4 linked regions of the Drosophila melanogaster genome follow. The protein of the gene in region 2 interacts with the protein of the main gene of each other region in a pairwise test. Each region holds a gene or a part of one and is shown on either strand. Other genes may lie near its edges.

What was found.
Region 1: the proteins of Wwox (region 2) and Act57B interact in a two-hybrid assay, tested with the Drosophila melanogaster proteins (one large-scale study listed by BioGRID).
Region 3: the proteins of Wwox (region 2) and CG18508 interact in a two-hybrid assay, tested with the Drosophila melanogaster proteins (one large-scale study listed by BioGRID).
Region 4: the proteins of Wwox (region 2) and CG13795 interact in a two-hybrid assay, tested with the Drosophila melanogaster proteins (one large-scale study listed by BioGRID).

The regions. Positions count from the first base shown.
Region 1 is NT_033778.4:20,942,308-20,946,932, forward strand, and holds Act57B (actin 57B), read left to right. Parts: upstream 1-1,713; 5' UTR 1,714-1,809; coding exon 1,810-1,849; intron 1,850-2,536; coding exon 2,537-3,627; 3' UTR 3,628-4,124; downstream 4,125-4,625. UniProt on the Drosophila melanogaster protein: Actins are highly conserved proteins that are involved in various types of cell motility and are ubiquitously expressed in all eukaryotic cells.
Region 2 is NT_033779.5:7,999,124-8,006,153, forward strand, and holds Wwox (WW domain containing oxidoreductase), read right to left. Parts: upstream 5,164-7,030; 5' UTR 5,066-5,163; coding exon 4,974-5,065; intron 4,912-4,973; coding exon 4,402-4,911; intron 4,341-4,401; coding exon 4,161-4,340; intron 1,311-4,160; coding exon 1,181-1,310; intron 1,114-1,180; coding exon 985-1,113; intron 910-984; coding exon 721-909; 3' UTR 547-720; downstream 1-546. Other genes in the region: Sirup (Starvation-upregulated protein), read left to right, coding at 1-44, 126-427; Spn28Dc (serpin 28Dc), read right to left, coding at 5,528-6,437. UniProt on the Drosophila melanogaster protein: Putative oxidoreductase. May control genotoxic stress-induced cell death. May play a role in TGFB1 signaling and TGFB1-mediated cell death. May also play a role in tumor necrosis factor (TNF)-mediated cell death. May play a role in Wnt signaling.
Region 3 is NC_004354.4:3,171,746-3,174,766, forward strand, and holds CG18508 (uncharacterized protein), read right to left. Parts: upstream 1,396-3,021; 5' UTR 1,300-1,395; intron 1,243-1,299; 5' UTR 1,235-1,242; coding exon 935-1,234; 3' UTR 523-934; downstream 1-522. Other genes in the region: Fcp3C (follicle cell protein 3C), read right to left, coding at 1,665-1,850, 1,923-2,533, 2,598-2,649.
Region 4 is NT_033779.5:7,722,501-7,727,987, forward strand, and holds CG13795 (uncharacterized protein), read right to left. Parts: upstream 3,799-5,487; 5' UTR 3,596-3,798; coding exon 3,433-3,595; intron 3,167-3,432; coding exon 3,035-3,166; intron 2,974-3,034; coding exon 2,810-2,973; intron 2,750-2,809; coding exon 2,661-2,749; intron 2,545-2,660; coding exon 2,075-2,544; intron 2,018-2,074; coding exon 1,869-2,017; intron 1,802-1,868; coding exon 1,673-1,801; intron 1,604-1,672; coding exon 1,397-1,603; intron 1,338-1,396; coding exon 1,056-1,337; 3' UTR 545-1,055; downstream 1-544. Other genes in the region: CG13794 (uncharacterized protein), read right to left, coding at 1-145; CG13796 (uncharacterized protein), read right to left, coding at 4,997-5,257, 5,329-5,487.

The sequences.
Region 1 (4,625 bases), on a different chromosome or scaffold from region 2:
CGGAATAAAAAATAATTAGAAAATTAGAAAAAAAATATTATTGAAAAATATAGAAAATATACAATTGTTGTAGGCATATCACTAAAAACTATTATTTTTATACTTATTATTAAAGTTATTATATTATATTATTATTATTATTATTATACCTATTAAAAAGCAATTATTATAAATTTGCAATAAGTATTATAGTAATCAGTAAGGCGACAATCATAAAATAAAAATATGCCCTACTTGTCTCTCTGGCAACTCTGGAGGAATACCTTGCTTGTTGTCATTTGATCTATATTTAGAACCGTCTAAAATTAGTTCGAAAATAATCCTATTCGAACTAGACCGATTCTTTTGATAGATTAATTTTTGCAATTTAGGTTAAGGGATTAGTCATTCTTCCTCGGGAAGCTGGAACTCAACCTTATTGGTGTTATGTATCCAAAGATACATATATGTACGTGCGAAAATACACGTTTTATAGAATGAATATGCATGGGGCCCCAAATCTAATTTAGCGACATCCATTTGTTTTTCCATGTAGTATAGCAACCGAACCGCGCCACAAATACATACATCTGTATCCAAGTATTTGAATACAGCGAGAATTGGGTAAAATGTGTGGAGGAGGAGAGTGTGGAGGATCCACAGCAACGATTGGCCTCACCGGATTGTGCCATAAAACGTAAACATGCCCCACTTAGTTGCAGCCCAAAAATAGATTGCACCGAACCCAATTTAAATGGGTACCCTGCAAAGCCGGCATGTAACGGTTAAGCTCCCCCCTCCCATCCCCCTTACTAACATCTTACAGCCCGATTTGTAAATAAACAATTAGTTGAATATAATGCTCATTGCACGAGGGGCGTAGACATGGGCGTGGGCGTGGATCTTGGGCGAGAGCGCAATGAGAAATATGACCAAAATTAGAAACGAAAGGCATGAAGGTGCAAAGGCTGGGAAATGATAGAGATGCGATTTGACTAAGGCTGTGCGTTTGTGTGTGTGTACATATCGAAAATAGAAAATGAATTTATTACGACATGAGAAAAACACGAAAGTTATGAAAACAACGAGCCGTACGAGAAAATAGAAGCCAGCAACAAAGCGAATATATCCACCCACCCAATCCCCCACCGTAACGAACCGACCCAAAAAGTATCCAAACCGAACCGAAACATATAGCAAATATAGCAGATATAGCAGATATAGCCGATATGGCCGATATAGTGGGAGAACAGGAGAGAGAGAGAGAGCGACTCGCTGAGAATGAGCAAACGAGTGTGAGTGTGCTGGAGGCGCCTCCTTGCCTTATACGGCACTTTTTGAGACTGCAAACGATCGTGAGCAGGCAGCCGATCGTGCCCGATCCCAACCGATACGATCTCCACGCTCGATCACGCCGAACTATACTGCGCTATATGCTATATGGTATTCCTATACGTATAGCATGCCATACCATATTGTGCCTCTCGCTCGTTCGCCTTATGTTTTCCAAAGAGCCCCCTATGCTGAAGGATCTATTTTTAGGCGGATCGGCCGGTGGGCAGCATTATCGCATCCATGAGCATATTTCCTCGCTGTGTGTATTCGTTTGAGTATTTCTTTTGCCATTGGTATGGGGGCGTGGCGGGGGCGGTGGCGGCGGGGGGCATGGCGACGGCGCTTCTTGGACGAGATGGCATTTCGGCGGCGGTATAAAATCCGAGTACCAACGCGGCGATACTTTAGTCAGTCAGTTGTGTTCCAAGCCGTACACACCGTAACTCTTGATTTAATTCACCCGTGGTGCCGTAAAAAAAACAAAACTAAAACAAAATGTGTGACGATGAAGTTGCTGCTCTGGTCGTTGACAATGGTGCGTATTCCCCATCGAACGGATTATCGTCTTGGCTTTTGCTAAAAGAGAAAAAAAAGAAAGAGAAATAGACAAAGGACCCAACAGCGAAAGGATATTCCCGCATCTAGTGCTAAAGTGATCGCAAAGTGAACGATTTTCGAGTTGTGATTAACTCACGCATCCTTCGGGACACAAGCAATTAGAAATTTGAATATAACAAAAAAAATATTCCAATGCCTTGGATGATTTCGAGAAATATATATTTTAAATATTAGTTATTGAGCAATATTTTCAATTCAAGTCAAAGAATCATAAATATTCAGATAAAGAAAAGCTAAAATATTATATTTTGCACAGAATCAAAACCGATTTGCATAAGTTTTATAAAGATTTTTTGTGCCCGAATCACTTTCATAAGTTTTGATGCTTGAAAGCTTTTCAAGAGATCATGATATTAGAGAAGAGGAATATTTCAGAAATCATATATCTTCAGATATTTCTCTATACGAGAGAAGAAGACAGATCACATATTTTCATGAGAGAATTTTTCTCTCCGCCCCAAACTTTTCCAGTTTTTTCGACTTAGTCGCCAGACTTTTTCACGCTGTCCGTTAGAGCAAATGTTAGACTCCCAGTGTGGGAAACCCCACATGAAGCACTCGAGCGCCCACTAATGGACCCCTGTTCGATTGTGTTATCCTGCAGGCTCCGGCATGTGCAAGGCCGGTTTCGCCGGTGATGACGCTCCCCGTGCCGTCTTCCCCTCCATCGTCGGTCGTCCACGCCACCAGGGTGTGATGGTCGGTATGGGCCAGAAGGACTCGTACGTCGGTGATGAGGCCCAGTCCAAGCGTGGTATCCTCACCCTGAAATACCCCATCGAGCACGGTATCATCACCAACTGGGATGATATGGAGAAGATCTGGCACCACACCTTCTACAACGAGCTGCGTGTTGCCCCCGAGGAGCACCCCGTCCTGCTGACTGAGGCCCCCCTGAACCCCAAGGCTAACCGCGAGAAGATGACCCAGATCATGTTTGAGACCTTCAACTCGCCCGCCATGTACGTCGCCATCCAGGCCGTGCTCTCCCTGTACGCCTCCGGTCGTACCACCGGTATCGTTCTGGACTCCGGTGATGGTGTCTCCCACACCGTCCCCATCTATGAGGGTTATGCTCTGCCCCATGCCATCCTCCGTCTGGATCTGGCTGGTCGCGATTTGACCGACTACCTGATGAAGATCCTGACCGAGCGCGGCTACTCTTTCACCACCACCGCTGAGCGTGAAATTGTCCGTGACATCAAGGAGAAGTTGTGCTATGTTGCCCTGGACTTCGAGCAGGAGATGGCCACCGCCGCCGCCTCCACCTCCCTGGAGAAGTCGTACGAGCTTCCCGACGGACAGGTGATCACCATCGGCAACGAGCGTTTCCGTTGCCCCGAGTCCCTGTTCCAGCCTTCCTTCCTGGGAATGGAATCCTGCGGCATCCACGAGACCGTCTACAACTCCATCATGAAGTGCGATGTGGATATCCGTAAGGACCTGTACGCCAACATCGTCATGTCCGGTGGCACCACCATGTACCCCGGTATTGCCGATCGTATGCAGAAGGAGATCACCTCCCTGGCCCCATCCACCATCAAGATCAAGATCATTGCTCCCCCAGAGCGCAAATACTCCGTCTGGATCGGTGGCTCCATCCTGGCCTCTCTGTCCACCTTCCAGCAGATGTGGATCTCCAAGGAGGAGTACGACGAGTCCGGCCCTGGCATCGTCCACCGCAAGTGCTTCTAAGCAGTTGCAGTTGCCTAGCACCAACACTAGCACCACCCGGTCTACTCACCTGTCTCCTGCTCATCTGGTCCTGCTATTTGTGGTGGTTCTGGGTGTGTGGGCGGCTGGTGCTCCACCGGCAAAAACAACAAACACCACCACCATCCAACCATTTGTTTTTGAATGTCATTATTTACCAACGTGTCATCCTTGGTTCGAGAATACTCTTTTGTACTGACTGAACACAACACCATCAATCAAAATGAATTGTCAATCTAATGCCACGGACCGCGATCCCCATCCACTTGTTAATCGCTCGCGGTTTCCTTAAATGTTGATCGCCATTTGATTGTTTTACGAATGAACCGACACCCTCATGTATTTTGTACAGAACCTAACAACTTCCCCGATAGAGCGGATGGGGTCTATTGACTACGAAATGTAAAATAATCTCATGATTGTAATATTAATTAAAACAATTTATAATTATTTATAAATAAAAACGATTTTTTAGATTTAATTTTTTCTAAAAACATAGAGATTTTGGAAAAAATTGGGGGGGGGCATCTAGCCGGGAAAGCAAATCCTAGCCGAAGCTTTCCATCGATCAGTAGTTCAAGATACATACAATATATATGTACATTTATGGATCTATGTGTGATGTGTGAGCTTTTTTCACCTCCAGACGCGACGGTGCGTTTCAAATTTCCCGAATACCATACCGTAAAGCTTTCTATTCCCAAAATATTTCTGGTTTCGAAACGATTTTCGAATATTTTTAGACGCATTCCAAAATGGGTGAGGCGGCGGACAGGCGAGCGATTTTTTGTTTGTTTATGCCATGAGGAAATACGATCGGAGATGACGCAAGTCGGATGGATGATCAAAGGCGGCGGCCAAAACAAATTGCCAATGTCAATTTGTTGCCGCTCTCGGCAAACTGATTACCAGAAATGCATTTCACTTTGAGGAATAATGGATGGAATATATACATATATAGTGTATGGTGGCAATGCCAG
Region 2 (7,030 bases):
GACCAGACAAACGGCGCGAGTCCTGCCCCAAATGGGCAAACAAGGTGTGTGTGTGTGTGTGTGTGTGTGTGTGCGCACTGTGCTGGAGTGGCGATGCTAACGTTCTTTCAATTTTTCATTAACAGTGAGCTATCTATCGACGAGTGGCGCTTGGCGGGCAACCGCCAGCGGTGGCGACATGGTGGTCGAGATCAAGGAACCAAAGACGCGCACCGAGAAGCTAATGGCCTTCCAGAAGAAGCTGCGCGCTAAAACGCCGCTGGGCAAGCTGGATGAATTCTCGCGACATCCGTACCAGGAGAAGGAACCACTCAAGCCCTGGCCCAATCAGACCAATCCGTATACGGGCGAGATCGGCGGACCAGCCGGGCCGGAGCCCACACGCTACGGCGACTGGGAGCGCAAGGGACGCGTCTCCGATTTCTAGTGCCCAAATGAAGAGTTCCTTAACTAGTACTTAGACTGTTATTTAAATGCTAGCCATTAAGACTTAAAAACAAATCAAAATGTATACTTGTTTAGTGTAAAAAGAAAATACATGATATTCTTAACGTACAAAAGTTTATTTGCATTGCACTTATTGGGCAGAAACTATTAAAGAATTCAAAATATATCTTTGTAATGAATAGCTGGTTTAAAATGTAAAATTATACCTAATGGAATCATTGGTGGTAGCATAATGCATAAATATATTTAAAAAACAGTAGCCAAATGACTTGGCTAATGCTGCTCCTGCTCCACAAGCTCGGCAATCAGGTTCTCGCTCAGCTTCCACAGTTGCTGCTGCAGTGCAGCACTTTTGGACAACTTGCTGGGCTCGCAGAAGAAGCAATTGTTGAAGTACAGTCCAGACAATCCGGTCAGCTCGTTGGCCGTCGCACAGTAGATACTCGTGGCAGCCGCTTGTTGCTGCCATATGGGGCACAGAAAGCAATTAGTGAAAGTTAAGGGAAAACAGAGAGTTCTTCTCATTGCCAAACTCACCAGCGACTTGGTGAAGGGACGCACAATGGCAAAGAGCAGGCGGTAGAACCAATAGTTTCGTGACAAATCGCTGGACACCATATTGCCCGGATGCAGGCTAAAAACAGAAATGCCTCGCTGCTTCCAACGCTGCAACAAAAAAACAAAAAAAAAGGGTTGGCAAGTGGAATTCAATTGACCCAATTTAAGGACTCACCTGGGCGAGCTCCTGGGCGAACAAGACATTGCATAGCTTGGCATTGTTGTAGGCCATCATGCTCCAGTATTTCTCCGGCGGCGGCGAAAGGTGATGCACTGCCAGATTCTCCACGGGCAGGTTGGCAAATCTGCATGTTAGTTAGTAACTAAGATTATTTGCGACGCATTTCTTTGTCGGTACATGAGACCCACATGAACATTTCTCGTCCAAGTGAACTCACTGGACTTTGGCCCCGCCGGCCGACAATCGCGAAACGAGTCTTGATTGCCATTGCCGGCTGGCATAGCCGGCTTTAAGCGCTCTTTATTAATGAGATGCAGAATTAGCGCAGTGCAGGGCGCACAAAGGCTCCCCACGAACAATGGCGTGAGTCAACAAGTGGGGCCGGCGGAACAAAGCCCCACAATCGAACAAGGACCCTCTGATATGCATAGTGAACTCTATGGCGAACTATCTATCTATGTATCTATCTATCTATCTATCTATCTATCTATGTATCTATGTATCTCCAGTTTTCGGCGGAAGCCTCTGGAATCCTCGGCAGTAGCGCATGCGCAAGTCGCACATTTCCTGCGAATCCACGAATGCCGCAACATGAAAACATTTCTATACACAAACACATATCTGCGCGCACATTTCTGGACTTTGGATTTGTTTTCATTTTATTGAATATCTGCGCTCGGCTTGGGGGCGATGTAAATATAACGTCGCAAAATGTATGCAAATTCAGTGTTATTTATAAGTATGGGTATCCATTGGCATCCATGACAAATGAAACCCGTTGGCGTTCCATTTTTTTTCTTTTTTTATATATGTATATTTGTATCTTGTTGTGGTAGGTAAGCAAAAAAGCGTTCTTTTCGACTGTTTGCATGTAAATTAATTAGGTTCTACAGACAGATAAATTGCTGCTGAATGGCATTTAATTTTAGAACAATAACTCGTTGCTTTACCTTAAGACTCTAATTGAATTAATAATTGTTTAATGTCTGGACAACTTTTCCCACGCAAAAATATAATTATTTGAAAAAGAGAAACCTTAAATAAAAATATTTTATCTATGCAACAATGAATAACCCAATTTTTGTGAGCTGATGCAAGAATAACTAATTGTAAGTAATCTTTAATGTTTGAAAATGATAACCAGTCGAACTTCCATACCAACATTCATATCTTTTTCTCGCCCGTGTGAACGTGCAACAAAAGTCTCGTGCGCCACATTGGAGTACTCGCAGATAGTCATGTATGCTCCGCGAAGCCAAAAAATGTTGTACGTGAGCACAGCAACGAACGCAGCAGATACAAAACCACCTCCAATAGCCAGTATGTATGTACATACATATGTACATCCAGTTCAGTTTGAATTGGTATTGTGCCTCTTCACGAGATTCGCTCACCCAGTGATTTATTTGGTCTTTGACAGCATGCACAGTGAGCCATTCGAGCGGCCACAAATGAATCAATCTAATTAAGCGAGTTAGCGCTGATAAGGAAAATTATAGGGGCACTTTTTACATTTATAGTATCTATTTAAAGCATGCTAGTTTTGAACATTCAAAGTTTATCTTACAAAAAAAGTACTCTGCTTGGATTTATATGCGTAGCTAATCTGAATGTGTTTTAGTTTTAAAAGAAAAACAAAAATACTTTCTTCAGTTTAGTTAATTTATCTCATAGATATTTTTTAAAGAAAGATTACAATCATATTTTCAGAGCTCTCTACTCCACTGTGCTTACAGCTGCACGTGAGTTCGATCATATTGCTCTATTGTACGCACGTTTTTGGTTTTGATAATACAAAAACCCAGCTGCGTTGGCCTCGTAATTGTTTATATTTATGTGTTTCTTTGTTTGCCTCTGAGTGCGCAGCACAATATGTAAACGAAGCCTATGAATAATATATACTCATATATGCCAAGCTGAGTTCAATTACGTTTCGCCTTGAAATCGAATCAAACGGAAAACATCTTACGCAAACAAATCTGAGGCAAATAGGCAAACATTTTGGAAAACATTACACTAGACGGCATGGCTGAGGCGGAATGCATTTATTTCTGGTTTGGTCTATGAATAGTTTGGCCCCAAAGTGCGAAAAAAAAGAAAACGCTGGGTGCAAAGTCCACTATGCGGAATCATAAAAGTGCAATCAACTTGCAAAAATAAAAGAAGGCAACTCGAAATGGCAGACACACATTTAAAACTGATGGTGTCGAATACGAAATAGCTATTGAATTTATAACTACATTAAATAAATTAAATTAATATTGTAAAGTTATTAAGATAGTTAAAACATAAAGTATATAATTTTATTTTATTCCTTATTAAAAATATATTAAATATATATATTTTTAGAATGTGACATGCACCAAATTCAGCTTCAATTAAAATACCCGTGTGATTTTGATAATAATCATTTTGCACACAAACAGGTTGCAATAATGACAACTGTTTGCCGGCCAAAAACAGAAACAAAAAAATAATAATTATTAAAACGAGATTAACAGTGCTGACATTGAGAAATTTAATTAGGAAAGAAATAAGCCAAATTGATTCAAGAAAATAGGTTTAAGAAATTATATATAATACATCAATTTATATATTTTGAAGCTTCGATGTATTTTATTTAACTTAAGTAGAGACGATTTTCTATTGAGACAGTGACTGATAGTAAAATTGATACAAGAAACAATACGATCGAATTGTAAATAACTTTTTAATTCCCTTACTGATAGTGCGAAATATAACCAGTTGATTTTGTATTTCCCATGTAACCTTTTTTAACATATATCTTTTGAATACTTAATTTTTAAGATTGATCTATTGATATTTCATACGAAATATAAAACTTAAGTTCAGCGGTTAGTTTGTAACCTTTTATACACACCATAAGAATATATATGAATTATTTCGTAACTGGTATACTCTATTACCCCCTCCCTCCCTAATTACGTGCTAAAGTGCTCAAATTCACACTTACCTGTGCGACTCGGATGACAGCACAATGATCCGTGTTTTGTAGTCAAACAGTGTCTCCAGTTGCAATGTGAGGTAGAAATGCGACAGGTGCGAGACCTGGAATGTGGTCTCCAGACCATCCACGGTCCTCGTGTAGGGCAGTGCGAATACTCCGGCATTAAGGATGAGATAATCAATGTGGCTGCAATATAAATATAATTATCAATTAAATAATATTAGATTTTGAAAGCTATGCTACTGACCTAACACTCTGCTTAATTTCTTCCACAAATCGCTGAACTGAACGCAAAGAGCTCAAGTCGAGAGCGGCGAATCGACAGCGGGAACGTGCTGCAGGTCGCTCCTGGGCAATCCTTTCGATGGCCGCCTCTGCGGAGGATCTGTTCCGGCAGGCGAAGATGATCTCACAGCCGTGATGGGCGAGCGAACGAGCCGTCTCGTAGCCAATGCCACAATTTGCGCCCGTTATCAGCGCGGTGCGTCCATGCAAATCCTTGCCGTGCAGCACCTGCAGTGCCGTCGAACAGGAGTCAAATCGCTGGCGCACCTGGGCCACATTCTGTGTGGGCTCCTCCACGGCGAATGCCAAACGAGGATCCACATTCGTTCGTTGCTGCGTCTCCTTGTTGAGGAACATGAAACGCTTTCCCTGCTCATCGTAGTACTTCTCCCAGCCCAAGGGTAATTCGCCCGTGATCCGTTTGGAGCGACCCGTACGTGGATGTGTCCACTGTGATGTTTTTCCCTGCTGGCTAAATGGTGCAATTAAAAAATATCAGACAATGTTTACGACTCCACTGGACTTTTGACTTACTTCACATAGCAAACGGTGCCGTCATCGGTGGCACGTTCCTCCCAGCCGGGTGGCAGCTCATCCTCGCTATCTGTGTCGGGTAGGGCTATCATTTCGAATCAATTTAAACTTATTTAAAGCTTTATTTCTAAAGTATACACTTTTTATTGCGAAAAAGAATACAAAATAATTGAAGATATCGATAACATGCGGCTTAAGCGATAACTGCCGACTAAATGAACAGCTGTTCCGTTAAACGAAACATGTTACCCGCTAATAATCAGCATCTCCGTTTAACAGAGCTTTTAACCGCAACCGGTTGATTGGCGGTTGTTTTTTAAATTTAAATGATTTGTAGAAACTTAGCGCCTTGAACATTTGTGGGCATTGTTTAATCTGCCTGCTGTACGGTACATAGGATAATGTGAAAAGATTCAACAGCAACAAAAACCAATACAAATTTTCATAATTTACGTTTTAATTTATTTTTCATCATTGTGAATGATTTATTAGTTTCCTAACTATAAAGTCAACGAACTTAGGTGCTAAAGCTTAATAACTTATGATCCTAGAAACTAAGCGGCCGCCGGGGGCTCATTTATGAGTCCGTAGAAGAGCACCAGTTTCGTGGGATCGTGGCGCACAAGGACCATGAATGGAGTGTCTCCGCGGAAGAGGACATCGGGACCGGATTTCTTGAGGTATGTGACCGAAGACGCCGCCGCCTCCGTGCCCTGCTCGTTGACGGTGAAGTCCACTTTGTGAACAATGTCATCCACCACCAGATCGGAACGTGCTCCACCCGTTCCGGCTCTGCGCTGTGCCTCCAGATTCTGCAGGCTGTTGCCGCCCAGCGCATTCGTCCTCGTGGCCTCGTTGGTGGCGATGAGCGAGAGATCATTCTGCACCGCGCTAAAGATGCCGCCCAGCCCCATTCGCTGCATGACTGTCTTCAAGTTCACCGACTCCGTAAGATGCATCTTTGGGAATGCCACCAGAGCGGCCCGTCTGTACATTCGGCTGATCATGCTCTCGATCTTATCCGCCGTCAGACGTTTCTGCAGTGCCATTAGCTCCCTCACCGACGACTTAAACGGCTGGATGATGTACATGGTGCTCAGATTTCCCCTGTACGGCAGTCCAATGATCTTGCAGCCCAGCTCGTGATCCTCGTGATACGGATATGCACCACCGGTGGCCATCATCTGCACCCTCATCACCGGCTCCGTTCCCTCGCCATTCGGATAGAAGTTATCCGGACGTGTGGCTGACTCTATAAAGTCCGTTTCCCAGAATGCCTTAAAGTACAATGCGTTGGCCAGAATCATCCTGGTGGTCTGCGGAATATCGCTGGCGATGATGTTCTCGATGTGATTCTTTGTGTGCTGCGCCACATAAGCATTGATATTGTATCGTGCTGTCGCCGGACTGCCCTCGAAATCCTGAATCTGCAGATCCGAGGCGTAGACCTCGACGATCACCCGTCTGGAATTGCACAAAAGTGGAGCTCATGAGTAATAAATCAACAAGGCGCAGCTATTAGTATGCCAACAACGTTGTGCAAAGTGGAGCGATAGTATTGGGGAACTGGGGATGGGTTGGAATTGCAATATCTGGTGAGCTAAATAATAACTTGGGAAAGTAGTTTTTTTCCGCTTTTTTTGCAATGTTTGATCAGCTATAATTGAAGAATAAATAAATAATTAAATGTCTTAGTTATGTTTTTAAGTTAATCCATTCTTATCAGTGCTTTTTATTTGCCAAATTTTTGGCAATTCATTGTACCTACTATTTGACCTAAGGTTTCTAATTAAATATTTGATTAACTGATAATTCCAATTCCAATTCCGATTTAATTTTATTCAAGTTCTCTACATAAAAACAATCGCACTAAAAGTTCTTACTAAATTTGTTTGTCAATGGTTCCCATTTATATTCTAAACTTTATACGTACGTACGTACATATATATTTCTCAATGAAAGCTTGGGCTTTAAAGATTCATAAATATAAGTGGAATTACACGCTCATTTCTACACAGAAAAATATATTCTAATATTTTCTCGTTGTATATTATCTT
Region 3 (3,021 bases), on a different chromosome or scaffold from region 2:
TGACTATTATGTATTATTACATATTGACTAAGCTAAACTGTAAAAAGATTCTCATAACTGTTTGATTTAAGTTGACACATACAAAATACAAAAGGATTTGCAAAAAAAATTACACAAAAATCACCAATGGAAACGTATAAGTCTAATTGAAAGAAAGAAAGAAAAGAAGAAAAAAAAGGAAAAAACCACGAAAAAGACAGTAACCAGCCAAGTTTACTATATATATAAGGACACTCGACGATCTACGATCTAAGTTGATGAAAAGATATTTTCAAAAAATATGCAACAGAAAGAAAAAAAACGCACACACTTAGAGAAAACTGCAAAATACGAATTTTCTCGTTCGATTTGCATTAATTTTAATTTGAACGGTATTGCTTTCTTTCGTCTATATTTTGTGTGTAAGTTTTTAATGTGTAAATTGTAAAATTATTTGTTTTCCTAACTTAAACAGCCAGACAGCAAAACGAAACTGCAAACTTTTTGACATAAATAATAAATATTAAATAATTATTTTAAAAGCCGTGTGTTTATTTCATTAATTATATACATATACAACATATAAAGGCGAATTTTTCAGCTCTGCGTTGTTGCAGCTGGAACAAAGTTTAAATACCATATTTCATATTGGAACTGCGTGGAGTTAACCTTTAACCTTTAACTCTTGACACACACACACACAAACCCGCAGGAAAAGAGCAGTTTTTTCGCGTGTCAAAGTGTACATTTAATTGCAAGTTAATTATACTTTAGACGTTCTTGCCGCTCTTCAAGGGCCACGCCCCCTCCCCCTCCTTTACCAAACGATCGCCGCCCACCACGTTGGATTTGTGTCCTTGTGTTGTGTGCGTTGTGTTTTCCGCTCTTATGTCAAAACATAACAAAAAAAAAAAAATGTACTATGTGTTAAATTACAATATTTGGAACATTTCGACTAGATCTCCTTCTTGGACTCGTCCACTTCCGTTTCCGCTGCCATTGCTGTTGCATTCAATGGCGGATTTTCAGATTCCTCGGCATCGTCATCACTGACGTTCTCCGTCTTCTTGCCGCCCGGAACGAAGGGGCAAACGCCGCCCTTGCACTCGAATGGGAAGTCGGGTCCCTTTTTGATCACATTGCCATCGTCGTCCTTCTTCTCCCAGGGATTCCAGTAGCGCAACAGGATCGGCTGCACAAATTTGTGCCAAATGTACAGAAGCAGTGGAATGATAATACAGGGCACGCAAACCATTGTTCGGGCTTTAAAAATGGTTAGTTATTGGCGTTGCAAGTGATTACAACAATTGCGGAACGTACCTATTTAATGTTAGCTTACTGGCTCCGGAAAAAAAGTATTTCTCGCTTTGATTTCCTTAATTCAACTATTTATTTATTGTCAAAAATGTCAGTGTAGCCAGTTCACTTGTGTTTGGTATTGAGCCTAAAAACGCCACGCATATACTGTTATCTTAAAAAAAAAAAATACGTACTCTCTAGCAAAGAACGCAACCGGTTGGACTAATATAGTCCGGACTCGAACCAAACCGTTTGAAATCTATTAACCCTTATGTGCACACCTTAGCTTTTTTTTTGCTTTTTTTTTTAGATTTTTTAACACCATGCGCATTTACAATACAGTTGAAATTTTGTCATATCATATATTTATTTCATTTGCACAGTGCTTAACCCATCAATGGGCAACGGTAGGGAACGCCAGAGCGACAACAGTACTCCCTGCCCGCCTGCAGATTGGTATTAACCCATTGATTGTGACAGTTCTTGATGAACAAATAGGCCCGTTCCTTGTGACAATCGTGACCCAGTGCGGAGCATACTATATTTGCGGAATTCGGCAGATGTTGTACGATCTAAAATGGACGAAATGGTGAGTTATAGAGCGCTTCTCCTCATCTTTTCCTCCTCGTTTCCCCAGTACTCACCGTCTCTAGGCATTTGGTTTGACACTGCTTGCGACCGATGGCATTGCAGGGAAACATATGATCCAATTCCTGGTGGATAAGTGGCTTTGTCGGCAAGCCATTTGGGATTTGCGAGGAGAGGAAGACGCCGCATGTGCACGGCACTGGCTGATTATCCTGCACAGGCAGTCCCGCTGTCGGTGGCAAGGGAATGGTGCTAACCAGACTGCTGCTGCTCGATGGGTTTGTGCTCATCAGCGGACTCGCGGTGGTTGGCTCCATCGATCGTGTGGATCCTTCCGACGATCCGATGATGGGTGCCTCGCCAACGGTCGTTTCGGTGGTGCCATTGTTACCAATGGTTTCCGTGCTGGCTTCCAATTCGCTTGCGGGCGTTGTCATAATCACAAACTCAACGGCCGTGGGCCAATCCTCTTCGGCTGTTGTGCTGCTACTTGCAACACCAGTGCTGCTCATGGTGCTGGTTTCCAGTTTGACGGGCTTCGTCTTTATACGCTTGTCCTTGATGATGTTGCTATTGCCATAGAGCGGCTTCTTGTAGACTATCTTGGATGCCTCCAAATGGATGGCTAGCAGAAGTGTCAGCAGCAGCAGGGAATTTTTAAAGGCGCCTGATATATGAAATATATACGATATGAAATGTGTTCTTTAGCTAATATTACTTTCAAAGCTTACCCATCTTGGTATCTACGGAAACACTGAATACTTCTGCCTTTGCGCCATCCATTTTATATAAGCCATTTTCTTACTTGGCTTGCAGTTTTTCAAGATTTCGGTCTTCCATTTTAGTCGGCCCCCAACGAAGTTCAAGTTGTGAGAACCGGCAAAATTGTGTCAGGGTTAAGTCTGATTAAGCAGAATTTTCACACAAAGCGAGTGGAATTCATTCATTTGGAGGAAAGTGAGAAGAAAGAAAAAGAATTACTTCCGAAAATTATGCGTAATCAATAAACCCAAAAGTTGTGTCTTGAGCTGCACAAAGTTTACCTTACCGTTCTAAACTACTTTCCAAAATCTTTTTAAATATCCCGCCAAACTGCAATGAAACTGTTATGATTATAATAACATAATGGATAACATAAATAAACGGCCGATTAAA
Region 4 (5,487 bases), 280 kb from region 2:
ACCAATACGAGGCCACAAATATATCCAGTTTAAGGGCTAATCCAAAGCAGGCAAATATATAGTCGGTGGGCTTATCCCACTTTCCTCTCTTCAAGTCGGGGGAAAAGGGTTTGTGCCCACTATCATACGATGTTTCATATATCATTTTGTGACGTTAGTATAGCCCGGTAAATTGTGTGAGCAAAGGAATTTGAAAAACTTTTGTATAAAAAGAAATATATCCAATTTCACACGCCGATGGAGGTACTTATTATTAAAAGCTTTGGCAAACAACAAACATTTCGCGAGCGTTTTAAATTGACGAACTAATTAGTAGCAGCGATGCGGACGAACTAAATCCGATTCCGCTGATAAACCGCAGTGTAGCTGATTCCACTGGACTGAGATGCTCATAGCCTATCCCGGACCATTCACACTAGATCGGCCATCAAATACACTTTTAAGAAATAATGTTAAGCATAATTTTTTGAATAAATAGTCGGTATTACTTTGTAATACTATGTAATGTGAACAAGTTCAAACAGACAGTAAGAAGATCCCTAATAATTTAATGTAATATGATGTATATTAATTTGGATATGTTAAAACAAACATCTCAATGAAACTAATACCGTTCCTAAAAGTAGTGAGTCACCGAAGTGGCATTCTGAAATTAAAAGGCATTTCTATACACTAACATGACGTCAATAAGAGTACTTTGCTTATAACCATAATTAATCAATAACTACATTAATAATTACACGTTTTTAAAAGCTCTCTCTCTCTCTCGATAGACAAACTATGTAAGCATTATAATTGTGGACGTCACAGATTTTTTAAGCTCAACTTTATTAACTTTTCCGAGATATCTACGTTTCTCTGGACAGTCACACGTGTGAACCTGATCGATTCAGGTGAGATAAACGCTGTAAAACCCATTGCTGTAAGCATAGTGCAATAAGTGTAGCATTTCCACCTTTCACAATATGATTGTATATATATGCATACCTTTTTTTAAATACGCATTAAAATTACTCATATATTTATATTTAGTACATTTCTAAGTGCATCAGTAACTAGTTGACCTCCTCAGTAACCTCGAAGAGTTGGTGGGTCATCTCCGTGTTGTCCACAGCTTCCTCGTACTGCTGGCGGTGCTCCATCTCAACCGGATACCAATCGGTGGGTCGGCAGGTGCGTTTAAAGCGTTCGCAAAAGGTGCCCGTGCTCTGGTAGAGGTAGTAAAATCCATATCCAGGAATGGCCAGAATGGGCAAAACCACGAGGACAATTGACATCACGAAGACCACTGTTGTGGAATAAGAGTGCTCCGATATGGACAGAGCAATTCCCGCGAGCTAGTTAGTTAAAAGAATATGATTATTCAAAGCAACAAGCAACTAACTAACTAACTAACCAGACAAATGACTAAAATTATTGGAGCTATAAAGCGGAGTATGAAAACCTTCCAGGAGGCAAAGGGCTGGCCCAACATGAACTCAATATCTCGCTGGAATCGTTCGCGACCATAGATCCACAAAACCACCAAAAGGAGCAGTAAGTGCAGCAAACTATGTGAGAAAATGGCATCAAGACCCAAGGCCGAAAAGAAAATAATGCCATGCTAGAAACGGAAAATTGTTTAAAATATTTCTTAATAATATATCTTTTTTGTGTAAACTTAAGTACTTACATTGGTGCAAAAGTAAAAGGAGCAGAGTGCAATACCTCCAATTAGCCCAAAGGTCACCTCTTGTTTTCTCACTCTAAGTACTTCGAACTCATCAAACAAACTTTGCAAAACCGTGAAGATTTGCGTCGTCTGAAAATAAAATTATTTAAGTTTAGTAGCGTGAAAAATAAAAATTAATTGTGTAGATTATCATCACCATCACAATTAGAGCAGCAATTAAAAGCATAGAATAGTATATAAAAGTCCATAGGTTTGGCCAAGCCATTGTGGACAAGGCAGAAGCACTTGACAAATATAGCAGCCAATGGCTCAAAACATGTCCGTTATCATCAACATCGGATAGTTCTGAAAGGGATAACTTCAATACAGTAAAGATATTGCAAATCTATAAAGTGCTATTACCATTAAAGTAGTGTTCCAGCATAAAGGAAACCATGCCAAACATGATATAAATGAAGATCTGTCCAAAGGAAATAATCCAACTATACGACATGATGTCAGTCTTGAAACCGTTGAAACTGGACAGAGTTATTACACTGCCCCAACCAGCTCCGAATGCATGAAGAACCATGATGAATGTGGACACTACTCCCATGGCCATGTCACTTGCCTTTGGAGTCACATATCTGTGGAGCCCGTTAAGAGCTCCCGGAAGGAACAGGAATCGCACAAAGCACACTAAAAGAAGAACCAGGGTAACAATCACCATGTAGCGTATAAGTTTTCCAAACTTGGCCGTCTCTGAGAATTTATAAAAAATAAATGCAATCACAACCCAAATGATTGCGAATAGGCCAACAAAATGCCAAGACAACTCGTAATCCTTATACCAATCCGGAACCGCATCCTGTTGCATGCTATCATAGTGATTTCTGTAAACATAGAGTTAAAAAGAAATTATTTTTAAACAATTCTTAAAATAATATTAAAATATTTGCATTGGATTAATTAGGTAATGTTTTATTGCTATATAAATAGGAGCACTTACTGAAAATAGAGCACGGATGGTACATGGAGCAGCTGGTGAGATCTGTTGTATTCCGAAAAGTCCTCCAAGATCAGTGTCTTATTACAAGACTTAAATATAAAAAATGTACTTAGTCTTCAATTCAATTTAGTCATACACAAATTTCATACACTAGATAGCGTTGCACTTCCATTGTGCCAAGAACTCAAGCCCTCACAGCTCCAAGGTAAAGTGGGTCGAAATGAGTTTATTATGAACAGAAGTGGAACCGCAGCAAAAATGCTATAGTAAATTAGCATGGAGATAGTTAAAAATCCACTCACATATCCCATGCCTGAAATTGATATTTCGATCAATATTTAATATCTGTTTAAACTTCTCGGTTACGTACGTACCTTTAAAGAAAGGCGACAGGCGAAAGGCGGAGATGAATCCACTGCTGGAGAACTGACCCATGAAGGAGTGAATGACCATGATGGGAACCAAGTAAATGGACATATATACAAAGTACGGCAGTATTCCAAGAACTGGTCCAAGCAAATAGTGTATTTAAATAAATGCATTCAAAGATAAAGATTAAATTCTGATGTATAAACTGTTATCTCTTGTGCTGTATAAAGAGACACAATTATTACATTAAATACATAAATATCGACAGAATTAGGCATTGTTTTGTATGTATGTCAGATGAGAAGGTAAGAGAACATTAGCAGAGCACCGCCCCTCCACAGATTAGTCTAAATCCGAACCTTATCAGCAATATAATATACGTAGTCGCCCTTGCGTTACTTACTGCCCATGTCGAAGAACATCCAAAACGATGCCACAAAGACATCCAACTTCAAGGCTAATCCAAAGCAGGCGAACATAAAGTCCGTTGGCTTATCCCATTTTCCTCGATTCAGATCGGGGGAAAAGGGTTTATGCCCGGTATCATACGATGTTTCATATACCATGTTGAACTACCCACAATATTACCGCCAAAATGTGGGCGAGAATGGATTTAAGCAAATTTTGTAAATAAGTATATATAACTACGATCTAATTTTACACTCCCGCAGAGGTAATATTAGTATATATATATTTTTTTTCTGCAACCGATCCGCGAGCGTTTTACTCTAAATTGACGGACTAATTAGTAGAACCGATGCCGGCAAACTGAATCCGATTCCGACAGCAGGCCTCTGTTTAGCTCATCCCTCTTGAATGAGATACCCCAACTTAGGCGATGCACACTTGGTCTTTAATCACACAGTTATTACTATGGAAGTGGGGTATCTTTATACCGAGATTCATTTGAAACCTCCCTCTAATTTCAAACAGATCTGTTGTCAAAATAAAGATATGCTAGGAAAATATATATCTAAGCGAGTTATCTATAGTTTCAAGCTTTCGGTTATCAAAATAATTGTAAATTTGTTATTACACGTTTTGTAAGTGTATTTCCGATCTCGACCATAAATTTGCATTTATTGTTATTTTGCTTTAAATTCAGATTATTAGAGCTCTTATATCTGTGCCTGTCTCTCTTATGTGCGCCTATCGTCGTGCATTGCCAAGTTCATTTCGATTTTGGAACTGGAAACTGATATGGTCGTGCTCGGGAAATGGGATGACAAACAAGACAGCCGCAAAGTTATCAAATCTGGGGGAAAACTCAGACAGCAATGCAAAAGCAAGTAAACCCCATAACGCCCTGGCTGTTGATTTCAATAACGCATTGATAATGTCTTAATATTTGTTTTTTCTTATGTTTGTTTGTTATTAGCGATTAGTTTTAGGTAATAATATACAATTACCTCATATATTTTTCAAACTATTATTATTTTGCATGCATTTAAAAACATGCTTCTAACAATCTACTCTAAACGTCATATATTCTATAACTAAAATTCCAAAATTATTATTATTATTAGTGCGACATTAAATAGTTTAAAGTGCTGACAGCCGTATATCATAAATTTAACTCTTTTCCTTATACGTTTACCAACTTCAAAAAAAGACTTCAACATTTTCAATGCCTAAAAGGTAAAATTTTATTAGTTCATAACAATATTTTTGGCCGAAGCTTGTTGAACATTTTAGTAGGAAACTACTAAATATCACCAGTATATTGTTCACTATAGCTAGCTTTTGGAAAATATCAGTACAACTTCATTACAACAACTAACAATCGCCATTGCCAATGGATCCGCTTATTTATATACTAGTGTGCGTGTTTGTTATTGTATTTTTTGCATGTGTGAATGTGACCGCATATGGGTGTATAATAAAAGTGAGTTCAGTTCAGTTCATTTGTCAAGTGACGACGCTGTAAGTATTGAGTTTTGATCTAGGGAGTATTCGATATTTAGGCACTATGTGGTGTTGGCATTGGCATCTATAACCAGCATCTCCGAGATGCCCATGATTTCCTCGTAGAATCGCCGGTTGTCCGCATCCACCGGATGCCAGTCATGTGGTGCGAGGCACTGTTGCAATCGCTGGCGCCAATCGCCATTCGTCCGACATACCTTGTAAACCATATAAGATATGGCCGTTAGGAGAATCAAGCCCTGACTCACATAAATCAGGACATCGTGTATGCGATCACGCGTAAATAAATAGGTTAGTTGAAACTGCAAGAAATTCCAATAATATCAGTCATTAACTATATACAAATAATTTTATAATAATAACCACTACTCACCAGACACAGTCCCAGAAAAATGGGCGTGGCAAAGCGTATAAAGAAAATTTTGAAACTTGAGATCGTTTTGCCTAACATAAACTGCAAGTCGCACTGGAAACGAACGCGTCCATAAACCCAAGTGGTCATCAGCACAAGGATTCCCGAAATAAGCAAGTG